4 linked regions of the Yarrowia lipolytica genome follow. The protein of the gene in region 1 interacts with the protein of each later gene in a biochemical or structural test. Links are inferred from orthologs where the notes say so. Each region holds a gene or a part of one and is shown in the gene's direction. Other genes may lie near its edges. The genes, in order: YALI1_E07302g, YALI1_F03842g, YALI1_B27307g and YALI1_F34105g.

Region 1 (5,883 bases):
GTGCACGACAACACTTCCCCTGAGGTGACTTCTCTTCCCTCCAAGGGCCGATGGTCTGGAATCGACGAGACTGGCCATGAGTCGCATCTCGACGGTATTGTGTCGTCTTCTAAGACCAATGGAGAAGTTGTTTTCCGAGGGGACACACTCTTCTGGGAGTGTGGAGTCTACGAGTTCAGATACCACCATGCTGGCAAGCACACTGTGCTCAGCACCTCGGAACCTTTCGAGATTGTGGCTCCTAAGATTGATCTATCTGGAGAGGTGGATGCAAAGACTCTGGCTCTTGAGATCCTCCCCATCGTCCAGCGATGCTTCTCTCTATCTATGGAGTTCCCTCCTGAGGAAGTGGACGACTACTGGGCTCTTGAGGAACCCAAGGTGATCAACAGAGTGCAGGCTGCCGTTCAGGCGTATTTCAACGTTGAGCTGGCGCAGGAGGTGCTTCAATCGGATGAGTCTGTGGAGAATTTGGCTGAGCGACTGCTCAGAATTAGAGACGCCCTTAAAGGTCTTACTGTATAAAGGAGGAGAATGAATATGTATGAATAGATTGAAAATTGTTTGCAGAGAGCATATCTGGAAGAACGTGTGTGTGTGTGTGTGTGTGTGTCAACAAATATCGGATCAAGTGAAGAGCACAAACCAGAGTTGCGAGTGACGTGTAATTCTGGGCCACGGGCTACAGACCTTGACGTAGGGGTCTATAGTAGATAGAATGGTGATGACAGTACATTGATTGACCGCAATTGACACTTACAACTACGTAACATGTAATGTTCAATGCGTTATCTATGTAATATTATGTACCCGTAGTTTGGTTGGTTGTGTTTTAAACGCGACATCAAGCACCCTAGCTGCTGTATGACTCTGTGCACTCCTCCATTCACGTGGTCGGTGAACCATTCTATCGGTGAGGATACTTATGACACCCTCAGTATGTTGTGCCACTAAGTTTTCCACGCATGCTCACAGACTCATTCCAGTCATTCCTTATTGCTCCAACAAAACTCCATGCATGACTCCTCTGATCTCCCGGGCCATCTCCTCGGTCTTGTCGAAAATCTCCTCCATCTGCTTCTCGCTCACGTTACCGCCTTCAATCCACATGCCCACAATCTTCTTGCTTGCTGCCATGTAGGATACTACTCCGTCAATCTCGCTGGTAGGTGCTCTTGAGGGCGACACAGTTGCCTTGTTCTCATCGAGCAGCACACTTCCTGCTGTCACAATATCGGTGCACTCGAGACCGGAATCGGCCAGAGCGGCGCCAGCGCACGAAACTGCGGCAGCCACGGTGGTCTTGGTATTATTGGAAGAAGACAGAACTGATATGCTGACATCGATGGTGGACTTGGGGTACTTCTCGACCAATATGCTGGGCAGGAGAGAGGTGTGGACGTACGATGAAACGTTCTTCTGCAGAGAAGAGCTCTGTGTGGTGCTGGCAGATCGAATGTATTGGGTCAGCTGGGTGGAGCTAACCACAGCACTCTTACTCTCAATATCGCAGAGAGAGACAGGGAGAAATTTTGTGTCCACGTTCAGGATGGCCGATGTTGTGAACAGACCTCTCATAGGTCGAGGACCATGGACAATGGCCACAATTTTGATATCATCCAGCTCCAAGTAGGCCGATCCGTTTGCGTTTTCGACCACTCCGGTCTTGACGAAGATGCTGCCGATATCCAGGCTTTTCTGCTCAACCTCGGTCGGCTTGATGTTGTCCAGGGTGAATGGCACCGCGTCAGCAGGCCCCAAAACTCGTCTTCGGTCAGTCATAGTGTTGTGTGGTTGATAGTGAAACTCACAAATAAATTTCTGCACGATGTTGGTGCAGGCGTGGTTAGCGTTGGGAGCGAAGTTTATTTGGTAGATAGCTAATTACGTAAGCTGCGGGTGACCTGATTTTGATACAGCGTGGTGGTGCTGACTAAAGACTTCTAATACGACAAACATGTAGCAAACGAAGATAGCAAATCAATTGGTAAGCAACTAAAAGGCCCTTATGACTCAACCTTAAACCCAAACCTCCCTTTCTCTATATATAATGTCCTCAATTATTCATTGCTCCACATTATCTCCGTTTACCCTAACCCAACATCAAGGTTGACGACACTTAGTTCCACACGATTCCTTGCCACAGTTCAATCTACACTTACACAACTACCACTTTTGCAATGTCAGACAAGTCAGACAAGATGCAAATCGACAACGCAGGCGAAATTGATGAGTCCCTGTACTCGCGACAGCTCTATGTGCTTGGACACGAGGCCATGAAGAAGATGGCCAACTCCAACGTTCTTATCGTGGGTCTCCAGGGTCTGGGAATTGAGATTGCCAAGAACATTGTTCTGGCTGGAGTCAAGTCGCTGACTCTGTATGACCCCGGCAAGACCGAGGTTGCAGATCTCAGTGCCCAGTTTTTCCTGCGAGAGGACGACGTGGGCAAGCGACGAGACCAGGTGTCTCAGCCTCGACTGGCAGAGCTCAATTCGTACGTTCCTGTGCACGTTTTGGAGGCCAAGGATCTCTCCGAGGAGGAGGTGGCTCGATTCCAGGTGGTTGTGCTGACCAATGCTTCTCTAGAAGAACAGATTCGAGTCAACGAAATCACACACAAGCAGAATATTGGGTTTGTCAGCACAGACACCCGAGGTCTTTTCGGTAACATCTTTGTCGATTTTGGCTCATCTTTTGCTCTGATTGACGCCAACGGAGAGGAGCCCCATTCCGGAATCATTGCCGGTATTGACGAGGAGGGTAACGTTGCTGCTCTCGATGAGACTCGACACAACCTTGAGGATGGAGATTATGTTAAGTTCACTGAGGTCGAGGGTCTCGATATCAACGGTGACACTCCCCGAAAGATCAAGGTCACAGGTCCTTATTCGTTCAATATTGGTTCTGTTGACGGTCTGGGCACCTACAAGAAGGGAGGTCTTTTCACCCAGGTCAAGATGCCCCAGGAGATTTCGTTTGGTTCGCTCAAGGAGCAGCTGGCCAAGCCCGAGTTACTGATTTCCGACTTCGCCAAGATGGAGCGACCCGCACAGCTACATGTCGGCTTCATGGCCGTCCAGGCGTTCCAGCAGAAGCACGGTCGAGCCCCCCGACCTCAGAATACCGAGGACGCCAACGAGGTGCTGCACCTGGCCAAGAGCGTCACTGCAGAGTACCCCGACGTGCTTTCTGGAGGCGAAATCGACGAAAAGCTGCTCACCCAGCTGTCTTTCCAGGCCGCTGGTGAACTGCCCGCCATGACTGCTCTCTTTGGTGGAATGGCTGCCCAGGAGGTACTGAAGGGCTGCTCGGGCAAGTTTGGCCCCATCCGACAGTGGGTCTACTTCGACTCTTTGGAGTCTCTGCCCAAGGACGTGGCTCTAACTGAGCAGTCTGTGGCTCCCACCGGCTCGCGATATGACCGACAGGTTGCCGTCTTTGGTAAGGAGTTCACCGAGAAGATTTTTGCTGTTAAGACTTTCCTGGTTGGCTCTGGAGCCATCGGTTGCGAGATGCTTAAGAACTGGGCTCTCATGGGTCTTGGAAAGGACGGAGAGATCCACGTGACCGATAACGACGTGATTGAGAAGTCCAACCTTAACCGACAGTTTCTGTTCCGACCCAAGGATGTGGGCAAACACAAGTCCGTGACCGCTACCGAGGCTGTGGCAGAGATGAACCCTGATCTCAAGGGCCACTTTGATGCCAAGCTCGACAAGGTCGGTCCCGATACCGAGAACATCTTCGACGACTCGTTCTGGAAGTCTCTGGACTTTGTGACTAACGCTCTGGACAACGTTGACGCCCGAACCTACGTCGATCGACGATGTGTCTTTTTCCAGAAGCCTCTGCTCGAGTCAGGAACCCTGGGAACCAAGGGTAACGTGCAGGTTGTCTACCCCAACCTGACTGAATCGTACTCTTCCTCCCAGGATCCCCCTGAGAAGGGCATTCCCCTCTGTACTCTGCGATCTTTCCCTAATAAGGTTGACCACACGATTGCCTGGGCCAAATCCATCTTCCAGGGCTACTTTACCGACAATGTTGAGTCTGTGAATCTGTTTCTGAGCCAGCCCAATTTTGTGGAGTCCACCCTCAAGCAGACTGGTGACCAGAAGTCTATTCTGGAGAACATCAAGTCGTACCTGGTGGACGAACGACCTACGACTTTCAAGGAGTGTGTCCAGTGGGCCCGTCTGGAGTTTGAGAAGAAGTTCAACGGCGACATTAGTCAGCTTCTGTACAACTTCCCCAAGGACGCCACCACTTCTACTGGTGCTCCTTTCTGGTCTGGACCTAAGCGAGCTCCTGACGCTCTCGAATTTGATTTCAACAACCAGGACCATCTGGATTTTCTCATTGCTGGCGCTAATCTGCGAGCCTTCAACTACGGTATCCGAGGTGATGACCTTGATGTTTCTGAGTACAAGGAAGTTGTGGACAACATGACTGTGCCCAAGTTTGAACCCAAGTCCGGTATTAAGATCCAGGCCAACGAGAACGAGAGCGTCGACCCTGTGGATGCCGACTCCGAGGAGCTGACCCAGCTGGCCAACTCGCTGCCTCCTCCTTCTTCTCTGGCTGGTTTCCGACTCACTCCCGTTGAGTTTGAGAAGGACGATGACACCAACTTCCACATCCAGTTCATCACGGCTGCCTCCAACTGTCGAGCTCAGAACTACGCTATTGACGGCGCTGATCGACACAAGACCAAGTTCATTGCTGGACGAATCATTCCCGCTATTGCTACCACCACTGCTCTGGTGACTGGTCTTGTCTGTCTGGAGCTCTACAAGGTGGTGGACAAGCGAGAGGTGATCGAGGACTACAAGAACGGCTTTGTCAATCTCGCTCTGCCTTTTCTGGGCTTCTCTGAGCCCATTGCTTCGCAGAAGATGGAGATTGCTGGTGTCGAGCTGGACAAGATCTGGGGTCGATACGACATTCACGAGAACTTGACTCTCAAGCAGTTTTTGGAGTTCTTTGAGAAGAACTACAACCTGACGGTGACCATGCTGTCCCAGAACGTGTCTCTCCTGTACGCCTCCTTCTTCCCTCCTGCCAAGCTCAACGAGAAGTACGATTTGACTCTGACCGAGCTGGTGGAGGCCGTCACTAAGAAGAAGCTCGAGCCTCACGTTAAGACTCTGATCTTTGAGGTTTGTGCCGAGGACCAGGACGGTGAGGATGTCGACGATATCCCCTATGTTTGTCTCCATCTTTAGAGAGCTCTTTGGCGATCGTTAGAGGTGTTAGACTATATAATTAATGAGTAGATGAGCTGTATGGAAGCAGTACTACCAATGACTCGGTGGATCAGCAGAGTATGATAAGTACGGTTGTGCAAAAACAAGCGGTGCAATACTGTAGTCTTTCGTAGAACGTGACAGAGAGGTCAAACAAGGACAATGCCAAGTTTGAATTGAAAGTTGGTCAGGCCGTTACTGTCTCTGATTATAAAGGCAGTTTCGTTTCTACTGTGAATAGATGAAATGTTTACTATAGCATGAAGTAAAAATGAGATAGAGCGTGTTTTCAGGCTGCACCAATGGAGAAGAAACTCCTTCTGATGGAGGCCTGTATAAACGTGCGACACGTTCTACTCCCTCTACATAGGCACGTATTCACCAGCGTATAGTGCGTGTAATTTAGTGCTACGAATGCATTAGTCTGGATGTTAGCGACAGCATGACAATGACACAAGGGGGTATAGAGACGACTCCTGAGACGACACCGAATGCGTCTGTTTGAGATGAGTTGAGGTGTGATTTTTGGGGTTGCAGTGGTTCTGTGGAGTATCGTATATAAGTAGGGATTATTTCTTGGTGAGACACAGTAAAACGATACAACTACTCGTACCGGTACAGTATGTATTGGTAC
Region 2 (3,855 bases), on another chromosome or scaffold:
ATGAGTTGTTATTTAATGAGGTGCGAGACACTGTCGAGCATCAAGTGTACGAGATACAGGAACGTAGTCGGGATGTCTTTGTATTATACATGTGCTGTAGTCACATCCTTATGTATAGAACACAAGTAGGAGTAATAGATATACACTATGAAGACACAATTCTCCCAGAATTGAAGTGCCCTTCCACATGTGAGTACGTCTCGCAACATGATCATTCCTTGCTGATGATTCAGCTCAGCCCTACACTTCAAACTGTAACAGAGTCCAACAAAAACCAACTATACTCCTAATAAATTGCACTCAAGGCTGGAGCAGTGATTTGAGAGAAACTGAGACTTAACACTATAGCCTGTTTTTGATACAGCATATTTCCTTTCTACAGGGCTCAGGATATCCCCTGATGTTTCTCTCATCTCCCTGACATGTCTTTAGAGCACTGAACTAAGATCCCCAGGTGAAGATTTTCCCCCTTATAAACAAACTCCTAACTAAAGTACAAGCAGTAGCTAAACAGTACAGTAAGTCGAAAATATGAAATTTGACGATCACAAGGAATCCAGCCATAGTAACCACCATGGCAATAATTATGTGCAAACACGAGTGAATTGCCATTGATATACCGTAGTTAGGATCACATATAGCCCCGCTCAGTTCAACATGTGCAAAGTAAACGCATGGAGTGGTATCTCTAGCTCATTCATGAGCATCTGGTTATTGTAAACTGCTGGCTTCGTTGCTGGCAACTGTATCGATAAACTCCTCCAGGCCAATCACAAAGTCATGGGAATTATCCCATCAGAAGAAAAGGGTCAGCGACTAGCTGTGGCTTTCTCCGAGGCTATCAAGTCCGGACAACTGGTTTTTGAGACGGTTTCCGACGTTCGATCTGAAGAGGGTTCAAGACTCGGCTTCAAAAGCATCAAATACGTGCTCCATACCGCCTCTCCTTCACCTTTCAATGTCGAGGACCCCGTCAAGGATCTACTGAGCCTTCCGTCAACAGAACTCTGACTGTTCTCAAGGTCGTCATCGTCAAGCAATACCTACGCTCCCCACGTGGAAATCACCTCATCGTTCGCAGCCATGCTCAACAAGAACGAGGCTAACGATTATTCCTCCTTGGTAACCGAGGAGTCGTGGATTCCCGTGGCATGGGGAGAAGCTTCTCATAAGGACAACGCTTTTGTATCCTACATGGGCTCCAAGAAGTATGCAGGGAAGGTGGCCTGGGGATTCATAAAGTCTGAGAAGCCCTCGTTTGGCCTTACCACCGTCAACCCCGGCTACGTGTTTGGTAGTGGTATTGCTCTAGACGCGAAGTCTCCCAACTCCACCACTAATGGGACCATCATTCAGGGTCACTTGTCTACCACACCCGGGCAAGATACGTCCGAGGGTCAGAGCTCATGTGTCTGCCATCCCCAGAACCTCGACAACCAGCGACTTATGCCGTGTGTCTCCAAGTTGTGCAACCAGGATTTGCGGGATACAGTAAACAAAGAGGTTCCCGATCTCAAGGGCAAGACAATGAGTAAACCCGAAAGGTGCTAGACAATGATTGGGTTAGTTTAGACAAGACTGTGAAGGATTTTGTCGAGGATTTTGTCGAGCAGTGGCTGTTGTTTCAGGTCTGAGTGGTCCCGAAGCTTTGAGAGTAGAGCTCGAAGAACCAGACCCATCGCCGCATACAAGTATGAGCAGAAGCACAGAACATTCACAGTAGTAGCTGAGTTTTAGTGAAGTAATCATATGGAAATGGGGCTTGTAATATATCAAGTATGTCGTTAATAGCAACTTTCTGCAATAATCTAAGCAAGTAGTACTTGAGTATTCAAGAGATCAACTACTGTGCGTGCGACTGGTAGTTGGAGAGGCTTTTATTCCAGTGCTTAATTTAGATCAGTTTTATTTCACTGTATTTCACTCCCTCAACCCACGTCGTATCTGTCATATAAAGTTTTCGACAGTCCGTTACAGTAATTGCGATGGAGAGACTCTTCTGAGCAACCATCTTTTGGCACAGCAACAGGAGCTGTAGTATGTAGCAATAGCCGTGAGATAAGTGCGCCAAATACCTTCAAATGCGCCAGGCAACCTTCCATCTTTATACATACACTACACAGCATTGCTTCAAAGTCTCACCTCACGTGCCCCGCAACACCACCCGCTGCAACCTAACCACTTTTGAGGTTGGGACCTATTATCGCAGGCGCAGCATTATGAGACTCCCTCTCTCCTCCTCATCAACAGGAAAAGAAATACAACAAAGACAATGTCACGAGCCCGACGAGTAGCCAGAGAGATGGAGGATGTGCGGTCCGACTCCGAAGCCGGCATCACCATCCAGGCCATCAACGATGCCGACATCTCCCATCTGAAGGGCACCTTCCACGGGCCTCCCGGCACTCCCTACCAGGGCGGCACTTTTGTGGTCGATATCCAGATCCCCAATGATTGTGAGTAAAGAGAGCCACACAGACAATGTGGCCATGTCTGCCGCTGCCGAACTAACACAGACCCCTTCAAGCCTCCTCGAATGAAGTTTGACACTCGCATTTACCACCCCAACATTTCGTCGCAGACCGGCGCCATCTGTCTCGACATTCTCAAGGACGCATGGTCGCCTGTCTTCACGCTCAAATCGTCGCTTATCTCGCTGCAGTCGCTGCTGCAATCTGCCGAGCCCAACGACCCCCAGGATGCTGAGGTGGCCAAGATCTATCTCACCGACAAGGCCGCTTTTGAGCGTACTGCAGCAGAATGGACAGCCCAGTACGCCGGTGGCAACGCTGGAGGAGATCAAGACGAGATCGCACGCCTTGGCCTGGATCGAGACGCCGTTGAGGGATTCGCCAGCATGGGTTTTGGCAAAGACAAGATCATCGCCGTGTTCAAAAAGCTGCAAATCAAGAAGCCTCAGTCTCAAGAGGACGAGCAGAGAGTGGTCGAGGAGCTTCTGAACTAGGCTGTTAATTTATATGCATAAGTCTTGATATCAGTGGGCGTATGAGTAGCACACAGTACAAGTAGATTTATTTGTAGATGTGGCGTCATGGCGTCATGGTTGCAATGTATTGAAGGGTGTGATTTAGTAATGGGTAAGTAACGACTGTTAGTCACTACAAATTTGCTTCTATTAGTACTGTAGCAGTAACCAGGTCTCATAACCTCAGCGTTAACTTCTATTGGTATAGTAGCTTGCTCGCTTAATGCTTACTCATCTCTACCATGGTGCCTAGAACATTCCATGGGACATTTTGCACAATAATGTATGAATCGACAAAAAAAGGGGTCACGTGGTGGTAGTAGCAAAGGGTGGCAAACACACCTCACCCGAAAAATCGTCTGGATCCGTACTCTGATTACTTGTACGCACGTCTGATCGTGTACTCACTTGCAGTACTTATCACAGTTACCCGGCACTGAATTGTGTGTGCCTAAGGGAACACACAACTCAAAACCACAGTGGCCAAGCCAGAGAGGTTCCAGCACTTACAAACTCATACAACACAACACATTCATCATGGTGAGTATAGCGCGGTTTCTGCGCTTGGAGGGCAATGGATGGTGGCCAAACGGTTGCCACGACACGCCGATTGTCACAAAATCCGGTTTTGATCCAATTCTCGCAAGGTGGCGAATGACCACTACAATCAGTACTAACCCCAGGGTAACCGACCATCACTCCCCGGAGACAAGAAGAAGGACGACAAGAAGAACGAGAAGCCCAAGTATGAGCCTCCCGTGAACACACGATCGCATCGAAAGAAGAAGAAGGGCCCCGAAAACGCCAACAAACTGCCCGGCGTGTACCCCACGACACGATGCAAGCTCAAGCTGCTCAAGATGGAGCGA
Region 3 (3,957 bases), on another chromosome or scaffold:
CAACGATCTCAGTGGAGTAGAATCGCTCGAGCTCCTTGAGCATACCGTGGTCCTCGGAGGTGACGAAGTTGATGGCAACACCCTTTCGGCCGAATCGTCCACCTCGACCAATTCGATGGATGTAGTTCTCTCGGTTGGAGGGCAGGTCGAAGTTGATGACCAGAGAAACCTGCTGGACATCGATACCTCGGGCAAGCAGATCGGTAGTGATGAGGATTCGAGAAGAACCGGTTCGGAAAGCCTTCATAATGACATCTCGCTGAGACTGCTCGGTCTCACCGTGCATGGAGGAGACGGTGAAGTCAGCCTCGGTCAGAGCCTGGGTCAGGTAGTCGACCTTTCGTCGGGTGTTGCAGAAAATGACGGCCTGAGAAACGTTGATGGTCTCGTAGAGATCGCACAGAACCTCAAACTTGTAGGACTCCTGCTCAACATCAATGTAGAACTGCTTGATACCTTCAAGGGTCAGCTCATCCTTCTTGACAAGAATTCGGACGGGGTCTCGCATGAACTTGCCGGTGATGTCGAGGACCTCAGCGGGCATGGTGGCAGACAGCAGAACGGTCTGGGTGGTCTCGGGGAGGGTGGTGAAGATATCGTAGATGGGGTCCTTGAACTCTCGAGAAAGCATCTCATCGGCCTCATCAAGGATGAACATCTTGATGAGGTCGGTCTTGAGGATTCGTCGCTCAATCATATCGTGGATTCGACCGGGGGTTCCGACAATGACGTGGACACCCTCCTGGATGACTCGGATGTCCTCGGCGACGGAGGTACCACCAATGCAGGCGTGGCACTCAATCTTCATGTACTCGCCAAAGGCAAGGACAACCTTCTGGATCTGGTGGGCCAGCTCTCGAGTGGGGGCAATGATCAGAGCCTGGGGCTTCTTAATCTTCTCGTCAATGTTCTGCAGAGCAGAGATAGAGAAGGTGGCAGTCTTACCAGTACCAGACTGGGCCTGGGCAAGGACATCGTTACCCTTGATGACGGGCAGGATGGCTCGCTGCTGAATGGAGGAAGGGTTCTCAAAACCGTAACCGTAGATACCTCGGAGCAGCTCGTCCTTGAGTCCAAGGTCGTCGAAAGAGGTAACAACCTCGTCGTAGTTGGTGGTGATCTGGGAAGAATCGATGTCGGTGAGTCCGTCGGCCATTTTGTTTTCAATTGGTGTTTTTTATCAAATATACCTTGTTGCACAAATGTATATGTGTTCAAGAGTTGAAGACCCAAAACTGAAATACCTAATAAAAATTTTTCCACACGGCCTACCCTAGCCCTATATATGCGAACTTTGAGCGAAACTCACTAATCGGCATATGGGCCACGAACGCCCCTCGTCGCCCCAACGTAATTATATGGCCCTTTTTGACCGGTTAAATGCGGCATTGTGGTGCGTACTATGGCTTATGTGTGTCCCAAACTGCCGGGCCACGTCAAATTACAACGATCCCCCACTCAATTGTACCAATCAAAGGCATGCTTTTTTTTTTGCCCATTGATCACAGCCAACAGAGTTATGCAGCAAAAAGGTGGGTGTTCTTGCAAGGAGCAAAAGAAGGAAAAAGTCACGTGTGAAACCCACCTTTCAAGTACTTATCCTCAACTCAACGTATTGTAGCAAGGGGTTGGCACTGGCATTAAGCGAGTGGCACAGTTATGGCAGGATTGTAATATTACGATGAGCACAGATTTATGGAGCGGGGTAGCCACATGCATAGAAAGGAAGCCTCAAAATTATTGAAGCGGTCAACCATAGACAAACACCAGCATGTAAGCACAAGTATCGCGCTTGTACCAGTATTCACAAGTAATCGCTTCCTCTAAGGCTGAACAGGGGCAATAGGGTTATCATGATCTATGACTACGAGCATGCTTTGGGTGTGCGCCGGAAATCAAATGAGAACAGGGGGGAAAAATCGGAAATGGAATACTGGACACTATGGACGTCACATGACTCAAATAAGGCTAATCCGAAGTGAAATCGATTGTTCAATTGGGCAATATTCGGGTGCATTGATACTAGCTGACTAAGCCGCCAAGTACACGCGACAACATTAAGCACGCATCCCCAGATCAATCAACGTCTCACCAGCACACACAACCAAAAATACCATACACCATGTCGGGCAAGCGACCATCTGTGGCCCAGAAGCGGCTCATGAAGGAGTACAAGCAGTTCATTAGTGATCCTCCCCAGGGAATCAGTGCAGGTCCTGCTGACGAAGAGTGAGTGAAGTGGGGAGACACAATCACATTCAGGCTGACATGGTGTGTTTCATGCGGTGTCCGGAAAGACGATAATATTGTTACGGTCCATTTTCGGGGCCAAACAAACATCGACTTCATCCAGTCAGTTTGATTACACATTTGTCCAGTAATATGTCATGCTGTTTCCTTGTGCTTATGATACCCGGTTACAATCCACAATCATGCCACAACTCCACTAACACAGTAACTTTCTACTCTGGGAATGTCTGATACAGGGACCAGATGATACTCCGTACGAGGGTGGCCTGTTCCCCGCAACACTCAAATTCCCCCAGGATTACCCCCTGTCCCCTCCAGTGATGAAGTTCACCTGCGAAATGTACCACCCCAACATTTACAAGGACGGAACCGTGTGTATTTCCATTTTGCATGCTCCTGGTGACGATCCCAACATGTATGAGAGCGCTTCGGAACGGTGGTCGCCCATCCAGTCGGTAGACAAGATTCTGCTGTCGGTGATGAGCATGCTAGCCGAGCCCAACGACGAGTCAGGGGCCAACATTGACGCCAGCAAAATGTGGCGAGACGACCAGGAACAGTTTGTCAAGATTGTCCGAGGAACTGTTCGAAAGGCCTTGGGATTATAGGTAGTGCATGGGACGTTACTAGAGGTTGAGTGCGTCAAGGAGTGATATTATCGAGTACAATAGATTAACGAGTTTGATGGTGTTGTAAACAGAGGTGACTACTATAAAAGAGTAGCTGAAAACCAGCAGTGTCAACTGAAAGTGGTGCAGTTGCGGTTAATTGTTTGGAAGCATTTGCATGTCTGCCTGAGCTCACTTCAATGATCTACAAGTACAGTAGCTACTTGTACTCGCTCAAGTATGTGATTACGATGAAAGAAGTGATACGCCGACTCCAGCCTTACAGTAATGTGCAATACTGTGCTCATTCTACTGCCGTTAGGCACAAGGTCCATGAGTCAACAACACATCAACTACCAAGCACATTCACACACACAACTCTATCAATCATACAATCTATTAAATATCCTTTTATGTGCTTAAACAGAAGTGGTCTTGAGGGTGTCAGTAACCTCCTCAGTCTCCTTATCCTCAGCGGTCTCCTCCTTTGCCTCGTCAGCCTCGTCAGTCTCGTTAGCCTCGTCAGCCTCATCCTCATATCGAATCTTGATGTTCTCATCCTCCTTGGGTGCATAATCATAGTTCTCCAGCAGGTAGTCAATGACATCCTCCTTGTCAAAGTTCTCGGCGGCGTAAAGCACATCTTGTCCACTCTGGTTCTTGACGAAGGGATCGGCCTTGGCCTCACACAGCAGCTTGACAATGTCCAGGTTTCCGTTTAATGCTGCCCAATGCAGAGCTGTGTTGCCCGAGTCGTTCTGGGCGGAAATGAGAGCGGCCTGGGCTTCGGCATCCTCTGCAACCAAACCAAGCAGATACTTGACAACGTCAATGTGACCGTTGGCAGCGGCATAGTGCAGAGGGGTGGATTCTGTGTACTGGTCCTTGACCTCTTTGAGGGTCTCAAGGGGCTTGTCCTGAGCGGAGAAGAACTTTTCAATGCTTTCGAGCTCGCCTCCTCGGGCGTCGAACATGACGTCGTCAATCTGGTCTTCTGTCAACATGTTAGCTGGTCCAATAATGTCCTCTGGGGAATGTGCAGGTGTAGTTGCGAGATAACAGAAAAATTTCTGACATGCATATCCCGAACTTTGATTCT
Region 4 (3,296 bases), on another chromosome or scaffold:
TTCTGGTGGACCACGACCTCATCATTGAATGTGTCGAGCACAAGTACGATTTGCTGAAGGGTCTCCAAAGAACGCTTCAGACCAAGGAGGTCAAGCCCATGATAACGCAACACAGTCTGAACAAGCTGTTTGAGAGCAACAACGAGGAGGCCATTCAGCTAGGCAAGACCTTTGAGCGTCGACGAACCCTGCATTTCGAAAATAGCACTGAGACCCAGGAGAAAAAGCTGAAGTACAATGGTTCCAACGCTGCCCGGAAGATGCATCCCAGCGAGGCCATTTACAAATCGGTTGTTGTCGACGGCTCCAATGTCCACAGATACGTTGTTGCTACACAAGATCCTAGTTTGCGAGGTCGACTTCGGTCCATTCCTGGAGTCCCTCTCATTCATATGAACCGAGCCATCATGCTGCTGGAGCCCTTTTCCCCTGCTTCTGAGCGTGCTCGTCAGCTGATTGAGGCGTCCAAGCTCACATCCGGTCTCAATGCCGTAAAGCGAAAGGCACCTGAGGGAGATGAAGAGCAGGCCAAGAAGCGAAAGGGTCCAAAGGCGCCTAACCCTCTGTCAGTCAAGAAGAAGAAGGTATCTAAGGAGGATCAGGGTAAGCGAGAGCGACCTGAGGAGAAGGAAGATGATTCCCAGTCAGTCAAAAAGGTGCGACGAAAGCGTGCCAAGAGAAAAGATGGTGAGGGGGGAGAATCCAATGAGGGTGGAGAGACTGATGAAGTTCCTCAACTTGTGAAGGATTCCCCCAGAACTGGAGAGGATAATGAGACTAAAGAGGAGACTCCCAAGAAGGAAACGAATTCGGAAGGCAAGGACGATGTTCCTATGAGCGACGAATAAGCAAATAATTTATACATTGATAGATTTACAGTAGGTGAAGGGCCGAACAGGCTACGGAGGAGGTAGAGTAGACAACAATGTACAGTGGTAGGAGAATATTATAGTATGTGTCGAACTGGGAAATGATAATAAACAACGCGAGCGTATATCTATCTGAGAATCCCACAGCTTTACTCACTCTCACTACCGCCAACATTACACCTCCTCAATTACCCTAACCCTACCCAATACTTCGCAGATCTCCACGAGATCAACTCGACACCAGGACACAATGCTCAGACAATCACGGCGTCTTTTCTGCACGTCTCAGCGGGTGCTCAAGAAGCGAGAGTCGCCCCTTCAGACTGCCTTTGGCAACGATGACCCCTACGATGACGGTTTTTTCCACATTGGCGGCAACAACTACAAGGTCAAGAACCCCATCAAGCCCTCCACTTTGAACATTCCCAAACGATGGCCCAAGATGGCCACCGACGAGCAGCAGGATGTCGTCGATTACCTGGAGGATCAGATGCGTGGAGACTGGAAGATTATGACTCCTGAGGAGAAGCAAGCTGGTGAGTATGGAAGGGGAGAACAGACACTAAGGGTATGAGTATAGGAGTGAGATACTAGGAGACACAAACCCGGAGCGGGCCCCAACCGTTACCCCGGTTGATTATTCCACAAACGAGCCCATAAACTAACCCAGCTTACTACATCTACTTTGGACCCTGGGGACCGCGAGAGCCTAACCAGGATCCTGATCGGGGCATGCGATTGCTTACCCGATCCATCTTGTGGATGGCTGTCGGATTCGCATTCTACACTGCCGCCAACCAGTACATTGAGTTCTCCGAGGAGAGCGACTCTGCCTCCAAAAAATAGTCTGTATATAGCCGAAGTCTTGTTTTCGTTTTTAGCTTGTTGCCCGAACTGCTGTTGCACTAGTACATATCGAAGACTTCTTGGTCACGTGACACGTTGCACAGCCCGCAAAAAATCGCCACCGTAACATACTGGGTATGGTGGCTCCTGCCCTATTGCATATAAGGCATCCGTGATTCCGGCTTTTACGCCACCCACATTTGTCATCCTCTCTGCAACCCTAACTCCGTTATATAAAAGTGGTTGTCTTCTTCCCAACATGCAAAGTCTGGATAGCCAGACTGGCGCGCGCCATACAACTCATTACATCACCACCTGAAACAACCAAACAACAACACACGTCACCCCACGCCGCACACGGTTAAGTAACGACAGGTAACCGAAGAAAGAAAATAAAAACCAAGCCACAGCCATGTCCACTACAGCTCGAAGACGTCTCATGCGAGACTTCAAGCGCATGCAACAGGATCCTCCCCAGGGAGTCAGTGCATCTCCTGTGGCTGATAACGTGCTGACATGGAACGCCGTGATCATCGGACCGGCGGAGACCCCGTTTGAAGATGGCACTTTCCGCATGGTGCTGCAGTTTGACGAGCAGTACCCCAACAAACCGCCAGCCGTCAAGTTTGTTTCGCAGATGTTCCACCCCAACGTCTACTCATCTGGCGAGCTATGTCTGGACATTCTGCAAAACCGATGGTCGCCCACCTATGACGTGGCAGCGATTCTGACCTCGGTGCAGTCGCTGCTGAACGACCCCAATACGTCCAGTCCTGCCAACGTGGAGGCGTCTATGCTGTACAAGGATCACCGTCAGCAGTACGAAAAACGGGTGCGGGACACAGTGGAGGCCAGCTGGACCGACTAGAGCGGATAAGAGACGAACTAGAGATACCATTTTACTGGGAACGAGGGAGGGGCCCGTTAGCGGGACACGCATCGGTTGCATTAAGAGGAGGAAAAGATGAGGAAGAGATTAGGGCGTCTGCCACCATCATGCAGTTTGAGCCACTAGACAATGGACGTTGATGGGGATGTTTGGTTCTAGACCAGTTCATATATCTAATCAAACCTTCCGGAATAGGCTGTAAGAAGAGTACCGTGCTTACGTGAACCACCTGGATCAGGAGATATTCTAAGTCGCTGTTTTTCGTTTGACCGGTGTAGTAAATCCGACATGTCATTAACGTCAGTAATTCCGCTGAATACGAAGCTTATCAAACTACCAGTACCGTACAAGTACATACTCATCGCTACTTCACCTCATACATCTGACTTATAGCCCGTCGGAGATGCTAAATGGATTAAACTACTTGTACAATGAAAGGGGGCCGCGTGTGGCTATATTGAAAGCGGTATTTTGGTCAACATGGTTCCGCAGTTCCTGCGCATGTTCTATCCTTTGGAAAACTGAATGGGGTACGAGGGATATATATTTTTACCTCAGTTAAACATCTGTTAGCTGCAAGTACAATAGCTACTGGTAACTGTAGTTGGATGCTTGTCTCACTGTGTACTTCCAAGGTTCGCTGTTAGTCAACAAATTGTCTTCAGCCACATCTTTTATTGCTGTCAGAAATA

Evidence for each region.
Region 2: of the proteins of YALI1_E07302g (region 1) and YALI1_F03842g, one has a biochemical effect on the other in vitro, tested with the Schizosaccharomyces pombe proteins (2 studies listed by BioGRID). The link is inferred for Yarrowia lipolytica from reciprocal best matches to the Schizosaccharomyces pombe genes uba1 and ubc1.
Region 3: of the proteins of YALI1_E07302g (region 1) and YALI1_B27307g, one has a biochemical effect on the other in vitro, tested with the Schizosaccharomyces pombe proteins (2 studies listed by BioGRID, with this or other methods). The link is inferred for Yarrowia lipolytica from reciprocal best matches to the Schizosaccharomyces pombe genes uba1 and ubc7.
Region 4: of the proteins of YALI1_E07302g (region 1) and YALI1_F34105g, one has a biochemical effect on the other in vitro, tested with the Schizosaccharomyces pombe proteins (2 studies listed by BioGRID). The link is inferred for Yarrowia lipolytica from reciprocal best matches to the Schizosaccharomyces pombe genes uba1 and rhp6.

The regions. Positions count from the first base shown.
Region 1 is NC_090774.1:726,559-732,441, reverse strand, and holds YALI1_E07302g (uncharacterized protein), read left to right. Parts: upstream 1-2,180; coding exon 2,181-5,228; downstream 5,229-5,883. Other genes in the region: YALI1_E07347g (uncharacterized protein), read left to right, coding at 1-525; YALI1_E07306g (uncharacterized protein), read right to left, coding at 994-1,782.
Region 2 is NC_090775.1:381,987-385,841, forward strand, and holds YALI1_F03842g (uncharacterized protein), read left to right. Parts: upstream 1-2,272; coding exon 2,273-2,456; intron 2,457-2,516; coding exon 2,517-2,965; downstream 2,966-3,855. Other genes in the region: YALI1_F03830g (uncharacterized protein), read left to right, coding at 1,084-1,551; YALI1_F03855g (uncharacterized protein), read left to right, coding at 3,524-3,526, 3,670-3,855. UniProt on the Schizosaccharomyces pombe protein: Catalyzes the covalent attachment of ubiquitin to other proteins. Functions in degradation of misfolded or regulated proteins localized in the endoplasmic reticulum (ER) lumen or membrane via the ubiquitin-proteasome system.
Region 3 is NC_090771.1:2,729,269-2,733,225, reverse strand, and holds YALI1_B27307g (uncharacterized protein), read left to right. Parts: upstream 1-2,122; coding exon 2,123-2,229; intron 2,230-2,455; coding exon 2,456-2,858; downstream 2,859-3,957. Other genes in the region: YALI1_B27320g (uncharacterized protein), read right to left, coding at 1-1,156; YALI1_B27293g (uncharacterized protein), read right to left, coding at 3,278-3,862. UniProt on the Schizosaccharomyces pombe protein: Catalyzes the covalent attachment of ubiquitin to other proteins. Functions in degradation of misfolded or regulated proteins localized in the endoplasmic reticulum (ER) lumen or membrane via the ubiquitin-proteasome system.
Region 4 is NC_090775.1:3,408,404-3,411,699, forward strand, and holds YALI1_F34105g (uncharacterized protein), read left to right. Parts: upstream 1-2,127; coding exon 2,128-2,583; downstream 2,584-3,296. Other genes in the region: YALI1_F34083g (uncharacterized protein), read left to right, coding at 1-848; YALI1_F34095g (uncharacterized protein), read left to right, coding at 1,120-1,405, 1,540-1,715.